Bombyx mori: one gene and its partner. The protein of the gene in region 1 purifies or fractionates together with the protein of each later gene. This does not show direct contact. Links are inferred from orthologs where the notes say so. Each region holds a gene or a part of one and is shown on either strand. Other genes may lie near its edges.

Evidence for each region. Proteins that work in one complex are often made in the same cells at the same time.
Region 2: the proteins of protein lin-54 homolog (region 1) and protein lin-37 homolog purify together in Homo sapiens (affinity purification with mass spectrometry; 4 studies listed by BioGRID and IntAct, counting the BioPlex papers as one, with this or other methods). This does not show direct contact. The link is inferred for Bombyx mori from reciprocal best matches to the Homo sapiens genes LIN54 and LIN37.

Annotation. Positions count from the first base shown.
Region 1 is NC_085109.1:10,706,978-10,714,529, forward strand, and holds part of protein lin-54 homolog, read right to left. Parts: intron 6,871-7,552; coding exon 6,735-6,870; intron 5,649-6,734; coding exon 5,563-5,648; intron 4,750-5,562; coding exon 4,624-4,749; intron 3,643-4,623; coding exon 3,414-3,642; intron 2,832-3,413; coding exon 2,719-2,831; intron 2,563-2,718; coding exon 2,490-2,562; intron 1,851-2,489; coding exon 1,726-1,850; intron 825-1,725; coding exon 749-824; intron 287-748; coding exon 204-286; intron 78-203; coding exon 1-77. UniProt on the Homo sapiens protein: Component of the DREAM complex, a multiprotein complex that can both act as a transcription activator or repressor depending on the context. In G0 phase, the complex binds to more than 800 promoters and is required for repression of E2F target genes.
Region 2 is NC_085114.1:15,044,921-15,052,572, forward strand, and holds protein lin-37 homolog, read right to left. Parts: upstream 4,831-7,652; 5' UTR 4,669-4,830; coding exon 4,587-4,668; intron 4,537-4,586; exon of another isoform or gene 4,515-4,536; intron 4,128-4,514; coding exon 4,019-4,127; intron 3,029-4,018; coding exon 2,831-3,028; intron 2,499-2,830; coding exon 2,363-2,498; intron 1,381-2,362; coding exon 1,238-1,380; intron 1,034-1,237; coding exon 1,024-1,033; 3' UTR 866-1,023; downstream 1-865. Other genes in the region: rRNA N6-adenosine-methyltransferase ZCCHC4, read left to right, coding at 1-259; wibg (partner of Y14 and mago), read left to right, coding at 5,378-5,414, 5,764-6,033, 7,503-7,652.

The DNA.
Region 1 (7,552 bases):
CCTTTACCCGGTACGTTGATTTGATGCAGTTGCGTCCGCTGCCCTCCTTGCAGAATGACATTACCATCTTTTGTAATCTATCAACATAAATTTTACTTAACAATATACTCTATTCCTTTTGTACAATATAACACAAAGAATAGTGTAATAGAGTGTATCGTTTTAATAATGAAATAATACAATAACGTAAATTGTTAACTCACTTGTCCAGTCTTTGATGGCGCTGTGGTCTTTAGGATCACATTCTGGTTAGGATTTGCCGATATGAAAACTTTTTTCGTTGAACCTACAATACAATACAAACATGTTTTTATTTTTATTGCATAGATGCGTGGACGAGCTCAGTGCCCACCTGGTGTCAAGTGGTGACCGGAGCCCATAGACAGCTACAACGTAAATGCCGTTACCCATCTTGAGATATGAGTTCTAAGATCTCAGTATAGATACAACGGCTGCTCCAGCCTTCAAACCGCAACGCATTATTGCTTCACGGCAGAAATAGGCAGAGCGGTTGTACCTACCCGCGCGGACTCACAAGAGGTTCTACCACCAGTAAAAGTTTCAAAGATACATTAAAAAAATGGGTATCTGGCCACGATTGGTTGGAGCTGGTTTAAATGGGACATGAAGAAGACAACAAAGTTGATCTACGAAGTCTTATTATAATTATATTTCCATAATTATATATGTAATTTGGGAATGATTTCATAAAGTTCCATCATTAAGTTAATATCTTGATTTCAAGTACCTTTTTGTGGAGACGACTTCACGGCAATAATTTGCTGCTTCTTAACTCCTTGCTTAGTGGGAGAGGACAGCAAAACCTAAATATGCAGTAACTAATTTATCGAAAACATTACATACTATTTGGTAATAAAAAACAGAATTATATTTAAGCAAAATACTGAATTAAGAACAAAGTATTCAACACAGGTATTGGATTATGTATTTCTTTACCATCCAAGTACAGTCCGCGCGCGAGCTCCGAGGATTCGGGGGCTGAGGAAGCGGGCGGGCGTGCACCGCGCCCGACCGTCGCTTCATACCCCGCACTCTCCCAGTACTAGTGTCGACCTTAATGTGAGAGTACGCTTACCGACTCGTTGTTTTTAATTTTGCGATAGCAGTATTAATTACGTGTGATTTCTAATATAAATAGTTTTACACTTATAAGTATTTTTGTTTGCACAAATAGCTATTTAATTTGATGAAAAAGGAATGGCGAGCACTAGCATAATAAACATGTCTTAGCATTAGAGGAACATTACTGACAAAAGGATAGCTTAATGGAGGATGTTGTCGAATCATTTATTATTGAAGTACATAAAGAGAGTGTCAATAGTACATCAAATTCTTCAACTACTGATTAATCTGATTGCGAGAGTAATTAATAAGATTTCACGTTCATTTTGTTCAATAAGTATCAGTTCATTAAATTAAATTCATACGTGATCAATTGTTTTTATTTTATTTGAAGTACATAATACCCTCATAAAACTATTTTATAATTTACACTCGCACGGAGGCTTAAGTTGTGTGAGTATCGATAGCGCAATATCGACTAATTACAACACTAGCTCATTACGTCAACATTCCTTAAAAATCCTCGGAGCTCGCGAGCGGACTGTAAGTTTACCCCAGATACCATTAAAAGTTATTTATTGTAGAAGTGATACATGCTCCATCCAGTCAAAAGCCTGTATAAACTTATACCAAGAAGCTCACCTTATTTCCAATAGATATAGGGACGGTTTTCTGTTGCATCACGTACCGGGCGCCCGCGTTACTTGACGGCAACAACTTTGTTAGTACTGCCGGCTGATTACTTGTATCCGTGTTTGAGTGACCCGCTAAAAAGTAAATAGTTTTATTAATATATTGGAAATCCTCATCGCTTAAAGAATAACCGAAGAAACCTCGAGCCTCGTCGAATCGAACGATGCGATTGGGTGTTAAAATCCCGCACGCAGGTTTCTAAGAAATACTAAACAAATATTCACGAATTACTTCCACGGCGAAAGAGTAACATCGCGTAATCAAAATCAAACCTGTGTGCTTAGTGCGAGTTTTTTAACATTCTCAATAGCGTAAAAGTTAGCTCATATTTGTATGAAATGGGATCGTTTGCCTACGTTTGCCGCTAGGGGCGCTGTTCCAACTACATGCAAAATTGGGTTAACTTTTTCGCTATCGAGAACGTTAAAAAACTCGCACTAAGCACGCTGTAATAAATATTTTTTTTTTTTATTCCCTTAGTAGGTAGGCAGATGAGCGTACAGCCCAACTGATGACGGTGAGTGGTTACCGCAATGCCAGAGCCGACTTCAGCAATGCCAGAGGCAAAAATCATAATTTGCGTGATTACTATCTGCTGAATTGGAAATAACAGATATTTTACTGTTCAAACGTGAAGCACGATTTCTTCGCAGTGGACTTAATCAGAGGGTAACAGTTAAGTCAGCGCGTGAGTGGAGGTGACGAGCGCTTACCTTGCACTACGACCTTAGCCACTAAAGGCTTAGCTTGAGTTGTTCCGGCGGCCTTTGCTGGTGTTAACTGTGCCTGAAACGGTAACATATATTTAATGTATAAAATATATATTTTGACCAACAAACCTTTTTTATTATTAGAAGCAATCAAGTTGATTTGTATGAAACCTTTTTGTTACAACTCTGATAGTGGTACATGCAATAGGATCCAGGAAACGGCCATAAGTACCTGATCAGAATTAGCTCGTACATATTGGAGAGTGGCACCTGATCCGGCAGACACCAGCTTAATTTTCTGTGCTCCTTCAGCTGGTACCATAACTAACTGCTTACCAATTTGAGCTAGAAATAGAAAACATTTTTTATTGGAAACTTCCGTGAACAAACTTACCGCACACCTTCTGTTAAGTGGTTACCATATCCCAAAGATACAACGTGAATGTCGCCTGGTTGAAAGACAAGGTGGAAGACTAAGCCTTATTGTTTAGTCTGTCCCACTGCTCAAAGCAAAAGGCAGAAATGTGCAGCACGGTGTTCTCTGCCCAATTGAGTTTACAATACGCTCTACCATCAGTAATTACGTGAATTTTGCGAGTTTCATCTTTATTACATGGACTAATTCCTTCAACATAGAAATCATTTGTTCCCATATGTTAAGTATATAGGTATTTCATTTGTCCGCCCGCAAAATTGGATACGAGGAACACACCGGATGTCTTATCATTTATGTCACGACACTCACAACTCATGTTTTAGAAGTTTAACTGACTTCAATAAAGAAGTCCATAGGTTTTTTGTGTGATTTTAACAATACCACTTACTAATTAAATTCCTACCCACATATCAAATTAATCATCAGTTATATTGAAATGAATATGAATACTGAATGGTAATTAAAAAATTATATTCATAACAAAATCTCACCTAGTACAGCATTGCCTTTTGAGTTTGCTTGTACACCGGCTACTGAGACTTTTTTTGTATTTTTATTCATCACAAACGTAACAGGTTTCGGCGCGATGGCGTATTGCTTGCCCGGACCGAACGTGGTCTTCGGTTTGGTCGTCTGCGACAGGCGGGGCTTCGGCGCTATTGGCACTTGTCGCGGCATGCTGCTCACTTCTGGCTTTTTAGTGGGTTTCAAAGATGCGGACTGTAAAAAAGATTCATATATAGAATTTTCCCTTTTTTTTTTCTACCTAAGCTGAGAGCCTTGAGAGGCTATTTTAGCGTAACCTTAACTAGTAGGTAAGCTAACGAGGCTCAAACCTGACGACGTTGCTAACACGAACCCTAGCAAGAGCCGTGCTTCTCAGAATCTACCACCGGATCGGAAACGCGACCCACTGAGAAGATCCGGCGAGAAACTCAGTGGGCTGTGTCTGAGGGTTAATTTACTCGTCGAGCCCTTCGTCGCAAGCGACGGGTTCGACGAGGACGATGACCGGTGCTTGAGGTACCTAAAAGCACCGTTAGTGGATCGGGAGGATCCGAAATTACGTGTTTGATGCGACATCGACTGCTTTCCATTCTGTCCGCAGGATCGGGAATGTAGTTACCGGCGACCACGATGAAAGGGTTCTTGTGTCGTGCCGCTTTATCGAAGTTGGAATTTTCACCATTCAACTCCACAATATAGATTCTGCGAAGCACTGCTCTTTACTAGGGCCAGTGTTAGCAACACTCCCGGTTTAAGCCCCGTGAGCTCACCTACTAGTTCGGTGAATCTAGAATAACCCCTTGAGGTTACTATTTAGAATAGGTAGGAAGTTTTATAAAACCACAATATAGTAGTCAGATTCAAGGTGGTTTGCTCAATAATCAACTCTGTTTGATTCTAGAAACGCTTCTCAAACTTATGTATGATTTACGAAAAAAACGTAACGAGATTATTAGATTCTAGAAAGAGCATTAAACAAATCAAGGCTCATATACATTAGTTTCTCGGATACAAGAGATGATTGCAGTCTTTGATTATGTCATGATAGAATTTTTCGTACGATTATCGCCTTTAAAAGAGCACAGAATTATAAACACCCTGGCACTAGACGTTCGCTTTTGGAGTCGCAAATCTCGTAATTGGTGAAATCGACTAAATAACATGCTATTCATTCGAAAGTTTTTAATGAATTACCTTTAATAGAATGTATTTAGATTGTATGGTTATTTCTTTGGAAATGTTATCACTTTCCACTTTTAAGCTATCAAGATCTAAATTAAGATCCAACATTGTGTCTTGTGGTGTTATTATATTCATTTGCTGAAATTAATCCATAAATTTAATCTATAGTAGGCATTATTACATCACCAAAAACAAATACAATGCCATTTTACAATTGGGATGTCCGTCCCTAATTTAACAGATAAGACATCCATGTCCTATCAGGCATGAGATTATTCCATAGACAGCCCACAGAGTTCCTCCCCAGAGCTAGTGTTAGCAATTCTCTTAGGTTGAGCTTCTGAGCTCACTTTCCCTTCCGAGCGTAGTTGGGATAGCCCGGTAAGCTACCAGTGATTAGATAGAGAAAAATAATAGGATTGTATTGGTGATAGAAAGATACCACATTTTTTTTTGTATGTCTCCAAATGTGTATTCACGAGTAACTTAAAATAAAAGATAAATGCTTAATAAAATAAATCAGTTTTAGGAAAATTATTAACTCCGACATCAGTATACTGCCCACATTTATGCTGCAAATTAATGACAAGTTTCAGATAGAAGGCTCGGATAATCATTATTAAAATACAAATGAGATTTAATAATTTAATAAACTGGGTGATGGCAATGCTGATTTGTCGCCTCTCAGCTCCAATTTCATTCTATTGACATAACAATAGAGTTATTTATTGAATAAATGTGTCTGTAGTAATGGTAAACAACTCATTTACCATAATATTAAGCTATACACTAATCTCTGGCAAAACATTACTAGCTGTGATTACTAAAAAGCGAATAAATAGTTGAAATAATTCATTAAAAATTAACTATTACAAGTTAATTAACTAATTACATATTTATAACTTATAATATATATTATGGTTAAACATGAAAAAATGACAGCATATTTACGTTCAGCTCAATAGTCACTTCAGGTTCTGGAGTTTGATCATCTTGCACAGCATACTCCTGAAGCGAAAACTGGTCACCTGTAAAATCTGTAATTAATTTTGATTTATTGTACAAGATAAATAAATTATATTTGAAAAAATATATTTGATAATCGCAGACATTGTATATTGTACATTGTTATATTATACAATGGGTAATGAAATAATTGTTCAGCAACATTTTTTGGTGGCATTTTTTATTTATTTCCACAAATGTCAACAGCTCAAAATCCACCTGGTGTTAAGTGGTTACTGGAGCACATAAACATCCCCACGCGAATTGAGTCATGAGGTCTATGTCTTAATTACACATCGTCGCTGTCAAACCAAAATCTTCTATGTGCAAAAACTCTATTTTGAATTAACGAGTAAAAACATTTTCATATAAAATTTTATATTAAGGTGAATTTCTAAGAACTATATCAAATGAAAGCTATAGATAAATATTAAAGCTAACACACATAACAGTTTTTATAAGGTAGATAGGGCTGTGAACTATATGATAAAGTCAAAAAGTAAAAACCTCAAAAAGTGCACACTGCAGATTTTGGTTTGACTATGATGATATACAAAAGACACACGTTTTGGGGCAGAACTACATAGAGTGGTGGTACATACCTATGTGGCACCACCTTACCGACACTAATCAGTAAAGTATCTAGTGATAAACTGTGGTGTAAATTTTGGATTTTATTCTCAACTAAAGCAATAATATCAATAAATGAAAAAATTGTAAATGTAATATAAGCACAAAATTAAAATCAATATTACGGTGTCTGTGATTATTGTTGCAATTTGATCACTAACTAGTAATGATAATTTATGTCATTGCAAAATCTCATTCAATGGCACACATTTAGGGCTCATGATCACGTGTCTCTAAAGCTAGTGAGTTGGTGTTTTCATCTTCATAATAAGTCGCTCAGGGAATAATTGTGTGACTTCATTTATATAAAGCTTTTGGCATCTCAGGGAATGTTTTCATTATAGTTGAATCATGGTTTGAAACATAAATTGGAGGAATAGAAACAAATTCTGTTGTTTTGTGTTGTTCATTACTGGAGACTGCAGATATACTAATAACATTTTAATAATGTCATAGACTATAATTGATTTTTATCTAAGTTTTTTTACCAATGACTTCTTCCGTTCCTGCATCCATTAAAATTTGTTGTTCTTCAAAATCCATTGAGAGATCACCTGAGTGTTCATTTGCAGAGAGAGTCATATTATCTTGACTAACAACCACTCCGGCATTATCAAAATCCATCTAAAAACCCATTTCAAATATTGAAATTTCAAAAATGAAACACCATTCCTTCTTTAACTCTATTACACAAGATTCAAAATATCATAGCAGTAAATATGCTTATATTCTATCATTCTGTACTTTTTTTTATAAGTAACACTAAAATTACTTAAAAATAATATTTCTGTTAAAACAGCAATCACTTATATTAATATTTTACTCCTTGTAAAATGCTCTTTGAAATGTGCGTACTATGCACCTACTCATGTCAGACAGATTACTATCTCTGTTGTATGTGCATACTTCAATAAAATGGGTATGCATGCAATATGCATCCTGTTTTTATTTGAAAACTACTTCCAACTGTGAGAAAGCACCAGTAATACCTAGTGACTGATTCAATAATCAATGACTTGAATTACTAGCTTGGATGCTTTGCATTAAAAAAATTATTTGATTTTATTGCTTCTGTCAATCTTGTAAAGGTAAAACGCAAAATACTGTTAAATTGTTACCTTAATTAAATTAATTGAATGAGAATTATAAAACAGAAAGATAAAACTTACTCTATGAGCAGATTTTTTATTTATTTAAATGAGCAGATAAAATGAAAATGGCTAAAATGCTTTTTTATCACGTCACCACCTAGTGTGAGAAAGGTATTGAAGTTTCAATGGTAAGAGATCCCACCTTTCATTCAAGT
Region 2 (7,652 bases), on another chromosome or scaffold:
TAATAAGTGCAAAGAGTGCACGAGTAAGAATGGAATGACATATAGACATTGCAATATTTGCAAACGGTGCGTGAAGCCTACGTTCTTCCATTGTCAGCAGTGTGAACGATGTTGCCAGGAAAAGGAACATGTTTGTGGTGTTGAAGTGACAAGTCAGGTAAATATAAACCTATGTATATCGTTTTTATATATTATGAATGTATTTACTTACACCAAATACATTTATGGACTACAGAAAACCCTGTGCTGTGGTTGTTAGCTCACTTACTCATTTGAACCTCACTTCGATAAAGCGGCACGACATGAGAATCCTCTCATCGTGGCCACCGGAAACTACATAGCCGATTCTGCGGACCAAATGGTAAACAGTTGTCGTCGCCCAAAACACGTCATTTCGGATCCTCCCGGTGTACTAACGGTGTTTTAGGTACTCCAAGCACCGGTCATCGTTCTCGTCGAACCCGTCGCCGCGACGAAGGGCTCGGCGAGTAAATTAACCCACAGACACAGCCCACTGAGTTTCTCGCCGGATCTTCTCAGTGGGGCCGCGTTTCCGATCCGGTGGTAGATTCTGCCAAGTACGGCTCTTGCTAGGTTCGTGTTAGCAACATCGTCAGGTTTGAGCCCCGCAAGCTCACTTACTAGTTAAGGTTACGCTGATATGGTGTCTTTAGACTCGATTAGGTAGGGAAAAAAAACTTAATAATATTATTTTTTTATAGCATATTCAGTCCTTCCCAGTATGCAACTTTACTATATATTTATAATCTTACAGTCTTGCTACAATTGCAATGAAAAGGGTCACAAGAAAACCCAGTGCCCACAGCTACAGGAAAAAGTAAAGAAGAGACGAAAGCAAGCATGAAACATTTATTAAAAAATAAATCAATTATAAAAACTAAAAGTTTGTATTATTATCAAATAATTCACAATCATGATCAAATGATTAAAATCAAATATAATGTACCTTAAAAATAATTTTGCATTATGTTTTCATTTGTATATAATGTAGTATGAATACAGCTAAGTTGAACTGAAAATAAAATAAAGTTAAAATTAAATTATTTAATTATATTAACACTAAAATTGAAATAGCGCCAACTGGTATCAACGTGTGAATGGCGTATTCAAAATACTACATATTTTAGTAAACTGATCACAATGGCGCGTTCAGGCTTTCTATTAGTTTATTGAAAATCAAACATAGAGTAAGGGCAAAAAAAAAGTTTATACTCACTTAACGTTGATCTTGTTGAGAATTTTTTGCGTGGCTTCATATCTTGCTTCTGCTCGTGCGGATTGTTGTAACCAGGCTTCCCTCACTGCCGACCAGCGGGCTTGCAGTGAAGATAACAGCTGCTCCCGGCTTGGTGATGGTGTCTGATTATTGGGATTAATAAATAATATTATGAAATCTGACCAGCCTCAGATATGAAGCTGCGTGGGTGTTACCTCCACCCTGCGTATCTCTGACGCCAAGCAGTCATGCCTTATTGATTTTTATAGTGAGATGGTTATTATACTATACCATCTAGATCTAGACCACGAGTTTCAAGATCGCATTCACACTGAATCTATTGTCTTCAGTAACTGCTTATCACCAGACGTATTGTTGGTTTGTTCACTCGTCTCGGCAATAAGAACAGTTGAAATCATGTAAAGCTCTCAGTAATCTTACCCATGAGGCAATACAGTGTAGTGTTTATAGTTCACTTTAGACCTACAAAATTTGATGCTGTACAGAGAACCGAACTATTTCCAGGAAATTCGTCGTGGCCTAACAGATATGACGTCCGGTGCATTCGAGTTGAACCGATGCACCGGTGTTCGAATCCCAGACAGGTACCAATTTTTGTAATGAATTACGTACTCAACAAATGTTTACGTTTCACTTCCACGGTGAAGGAATAACATCGTGTAACAAAAATCAAACCCGCAAAATTATAATTTGCGTAATTACTGGTGGTAGGACCTCTTGTGAGTCCGCACGGGTAGGTACCACCACTCTATTTCTACCGTGAAGCAGTAATGCGTTTCGGTTTGAAGGGTGCGGCAGCTATTGTAACTATACTGAGATCTTACAACTTATATCTCAAGGTGAGTGGCGCATTTACGTTGTAGATGTATATGGGCTCCAGTAACCACTTAACGCCAGGTGGGCTGTGAGCTCGTCCACCCATCTAAAAAATAAATAAAAAAAATCTTCAATAATTAATAAAAAAAAATTATAAACAGAATAGAAAATGGTTTTGTTTTCCCTTTTGTATCTGAATAAATAAAGAAGAAAAATTTCTACATAAAAATACAGCATGTACAAAATATAAAATTACCTATTCTTACAAATTTTATATTTTAAACTTACATATTCAAGATCAATATTGTCCTTGTTGGCTGCCTTTTGTTCCGGCAACAACTCTGGTATCCTAGAGACTGGAGGTCCCTCTGGCCCTGGCAAGTCTATTGTCATAATATCCTCGTTGTCTTCAGGTTGATCATAACTAAAAAAAATATTTTGATTAAATTAATTAAAGTTTATTTTCATGAATCATACTTAATTATATTGAGACACAATAGGTTCGTGGTATTGGCAAAGTGGACAGAAAAATACCACGAGGTAGAGGCCCAGCACATTGGACTGACCAGATCTGTACTACTCTTGACACCACAGTCCATGATGCTCTACACTCGGTGGCTAATAGGAATAAATGGCTTAGAGTGATTCACAATAAACTCTTTGCAAATAAGTGATCACGATCCTCAGCATTGAGGAAACCGAAGCAAGGAGGATTACAAGATGATTAGCATTATTATTAAAAAAATATATAATTACCCAAATTTGCTGTAATCAGCTTTAGGTTGGTTTGCAATCCAGGCTCTGCAGATCGGATAGAGAGGGGAATCCTCATCAAACTGTGACAAGTCAACACTCCTATCGAACAGTTTGAGAACATATGACTGCCGCTGGGATTGTTTTTGTGAGTGAATATCTTCTTCTTCCGATACATAGGTTTCATCTTGATCTGATTGTCTGTGAAGGTGATTTCATATTCTGATTCTATCAATGTTTTAAATGAGAATGTTTGTGGGGATGGATAGACGTTTGTTAATCTTTGAAGTTAAAAGATTTTGATGTGACTTAACAATTTATAATCTTAATATATATAAATCATATGTTACATTGTTTGTCCGTGATAGACTCCTAAGCGACTTAACCGATTTTAAATTAAATTTGCACACCGTGTGCAGTTTGATCCAATTTGAAAGATAGGATGGTTTTTATTTCGATTAATGGTCGCAATATTTATTAATTAACAATAAAATGATTTCTTATGTTGATTTTTTTTATTAATTGAAGTTTCATAAATCTAAAACAGATGGCGCCTTAAATCGGTTGTCTGACATTATTATCTCATAGATGGCGCTATGTTAAAAATACCAAAGTTTCACATAAGCTACAATTTAATGGCACAAACACCACGTGTTGCTGAGGCTAAAGTTTAAGTAAAAATTATTTCGTAGTAAGCGCAATACAGTGAAATCCAATTGTTCTTACTTTGTCAATTTTTGATATTAGCATAGCCGGCCACGCGGCGTGTTATTTAGAAACAAAAACCTTAGCCACAGCAACGTGTGGCCGGGTCTGCTAGTAGCTTATATGTTAAAACCCTACATAGGCTATTGATGTTTACACAAATTTAGGTGTGAATACTGTAATGGTCTGTACTATATTGGTTAACTTTAGGAATCCTGTGTTACATTCATATACATTTATTCTGGTTATTAACCTGGCTAACTAAAATTGTCTTATAACAAAATCTAATTTTAGCTGGTCTACTTTTCTTCTGTTGTCATGATCTTAATCGTTGATGGTTGTGTCTAGTTTGATTTTTCATCAATCAACTATCATGACAAACTCCTCGAAGTCTCAATGGCCTCAGTCTTATTTATTAGCTTAAACTATATTAAATATAATGCAATTCTAGTTTAAAATGTATAATAGATATCTATGAATAAATACCTTCTTTTCCCTGGTGTAAGTTCAGTAGAGTCATCAGAATCCAATGCCGGTTCCAATATTTCCATTAACGCTCCCTGCAGCCTCCCTCGAGCAGTTGTCACCTCTTTTACTGTTTGTTTAAACAAAAAACATTAAAATATGTGATATACTATTTTCTTCAGTTTTTAAAAGATGTAATTGTAACTATTTTTTCGCTCTAATCACGCGTATCTTACTTTCACGACATTTTAAATACTTTGCATTTATCAGGATCTTCGACTACTAGCGTGTTAGTGATTTTATGATGACTGACATTATATATAATAAACTAGACGCGGGAATACAATAGATAATTATAGATACGAATCCGGTGTAAGCTTTGAATTTAAAACAGTTCAGCAAAAAAATTCGTTTTTAAATTAAGAATTTATATTCGATATTCAATATTCTGCATCTTTATTGAAGGAAACTCAAATCGAACATGGTCCTCCCCTAAGCTAAAAGTTTAACCACCAACCAACGAGACTACCATATCAGGAAAATTTTATATCCTACAATTGTGTATTAAAGTTCGTTATGTTGATCAAACCTTTATTAGAAATTTGAGGGAATTGCGTTATACTCTTTCCTTTGTTTTTGATTGGAGTGAAAATCCTTCTTCGTTTACGCATTTTTAAACCTGCTCCTTGAATCTATTTAAAATTAAAATAACTAAAATAATTAATCAAAACAAATGAGATGTGCACAGTATATTTAATTTGTTCTTTTTTAATTTGTATAAGGCCATTGGCTACTCTAACTTTGGGTCTACATTCGTGTTTTTTGTTGAATGCTGTTTTTTTTTTTGGAGAAATCTTGAAGTTACAAAAAGGATATAATATTATAGGATAAGTTAAAAAAGGTGACGATAGTGGATTTTAATATGTTTTTTTTTCATGTAAAAACTACTCATAAGTATTTAGACGAGAATTCTTGATATTTTCTCAAAAGTTAACTAAAATAGCAGTCAATTCTCATCTTACTAGCATACTATTTCCTTTAATTTTGTATCATATCATTTTATTTCAGATAAATTAATCTTATTTCTCATTTAACAAAGTATTTTAATGTATCTTTGAAATAATAAAATTAAACCATCAAACTCGACACGAGTAACGATGGCAGAGAAAGAAACCGAGTGCTATATATGTAAAAAGTAACAATCTATGGTCCCTCTGTTATGTGTCAAACAAAGCGGTTCAATATTTTATTTGTCAAAATAGTTTCTTGTGTGAATCTTGGTTTGACTGTGTAGAGTACCACGAAAATAGCTCATTATTTAAGAATACATTGCCGTGATTTATAAATGTTGAAATACAAATTGAAATCTTATGTATTATAATGTCAACACCAACGGCTTATGAGCACGACGCTGATGGTTAGTGTACAAAAAAATTCACGATTGAAGAATTTTCAAGCCTCACCGCTTTCTCTAGTAGTTTTCACATTAACCACGTTTCGTGTGATTGAAGATATTCGAATTAATTGATACAATACGATTTTTTTGTAAACATTAGAGTTTAACGTTTCACACAATAATTATAGGAAGAACTGTCCTTTAAATACTTGAATTTTTCATCCAAATATATTACCTATTATTGTTAATTAACAGTCTATTATATATTTCTAATCGAGCTTAACTTTTACTGATTTTCAAAGATAAAACTAATTACAAAAACTTTACAAAATTAATTTAAACTTAACTTTTAAAAATTTCAACATTCAAGGGAGTAAATTCATTCCTGCAACTCAAAGACCTGATGGAACCTGGCGCAAGCCGAGAAGAATAAAAGAAGGTTATGTACCTCAAGAAGAGGTACCGTTGTATGAAAGCAAAGGAAAACAGTTCAGGGCCAGGCAAAATGATGGACTTCCGGTTGGACTTACACCTGAGATTGTAGCTCAAGCACAAAAGAAGAAAGGTCAACGAAGCACTATCCAACCTATACCTGGAATGATTATAACTGTTGAAAAGAAGAAAAAGAAAAAGAAGACAGGTATAAAAAAAAACATTTTTTGTTGTTCCTGAAGCAAAATGGTACTTGGTGTAATATGTTATTACATCATCAAATGGTCATTGAGCTCATCTGCTTATCTATAGGGCTCATATATAATAAATGAAGCTTTGAGTCCTTACTGAATTAATATTTCATGAAAAAATTTAAGGTACTTTTCTGTGTGAGGTGACTTCTTTCTGGTCGTTCCCTCTATGCTGAGGATCATGACTGTATGTCAATCTCCTCCACTCGGTCCGGTTCTGCGCCATAAGTACCGCTTCCTGTATCTGGCCTCTAGTCACCTCCTTAAATTGGTCCACCCATCTAGCTGGTGCTCTTCCTCTAGCACGCTAGGTACTCTTAAATTACATAAAAGAAAATATTCCAGCACTTGCTAGATTCCTGCAGTAATATCACCCTGGCTATAGAAACTATCTAGAGCTTTGCTATATAATATTTTTAGAATAAAAAAACTTAAGGATGAAATGAGTAATAAATATGCTTTTTTTCTTATTTCGTTGGAAAAAATCATGCCCCACCTGGTGTTAAACGGTTACTGGAGCCCATAAACATCTACAACCTAAATACCACCAACCTTTTACAGTACAATGGCTGCCCCGCCCCACCTTTCAAAGCAAAATCTATTACTGCTTCACGACAAAAATAAACAGGGTGGTGTTATCTACCTGTGTACTCATGAGACGTCCTACCACCACTAATTATACAGATTATAATTTTATGGGTTTTATTTTTAATACACGATTTTACTCCATCACAGTGGAAGTCAATCATGAACATTTGTTATGTACTTATTTTACTAGAAAAAATGGTACCTGACTGCAGATTCCTACCCCATTGCATCGCTTGATACGAATGCACCGGGCTTCTTATCACTTAGGCCACAACAGCTTCATCAAGTGACAAAGAATATAGAAGGACACTTGACAGGGAGTTCAAACGCAGTTAAGGGAAATTAATCTAGTCAAAACAGCAACACATTGTCATGTTTATGAATAGCTTTCACAAATAAAGAATAAGACAGGGTAATCTTACAGAATAACTTTTGAGGAATAATTAGTATTAGGGATTTTAAGTTGCAGTCTCAAAAAGCTCAATAGCAATATTAGGAAGCATACTATCCTATTCATATTATAGAAGATTATTATTTTGCTGGCATACACGGCTGGTGAACATGAACGTTTAAGGCAATTTTTAGTAAATATGTAAACCTTAGCTTCCAAAAACATATTTAAAAAATGACAAGAGCTATCAAGCCGATAGTTCACAAAAATTTTGATACATTATTTTTAAAGATTCTTAATACTTTACCCATTTTAAATTTTTGAACTTAGTTACTTTATATTTTAAATGTAATCTTCAATCACACCACTAAAAATAACCAATATTATTGCAGTGAACATTTGGTTAGAGAATTTTGATTTTTATGAACTCTAAATTTTTAGTTACAGGTGTTGAAGAAGCTGCAGAAAAACTTGCCAAATGTGAAATACAAGAACCAACCGTACCTAGTCAGTCAGTACCGACTGAAAGTATATCTCAGTCTGATCCGACAAAACGCCTCAAGAATCTCAGAAAAAAGCTTAGAGAAATAGAGTTTC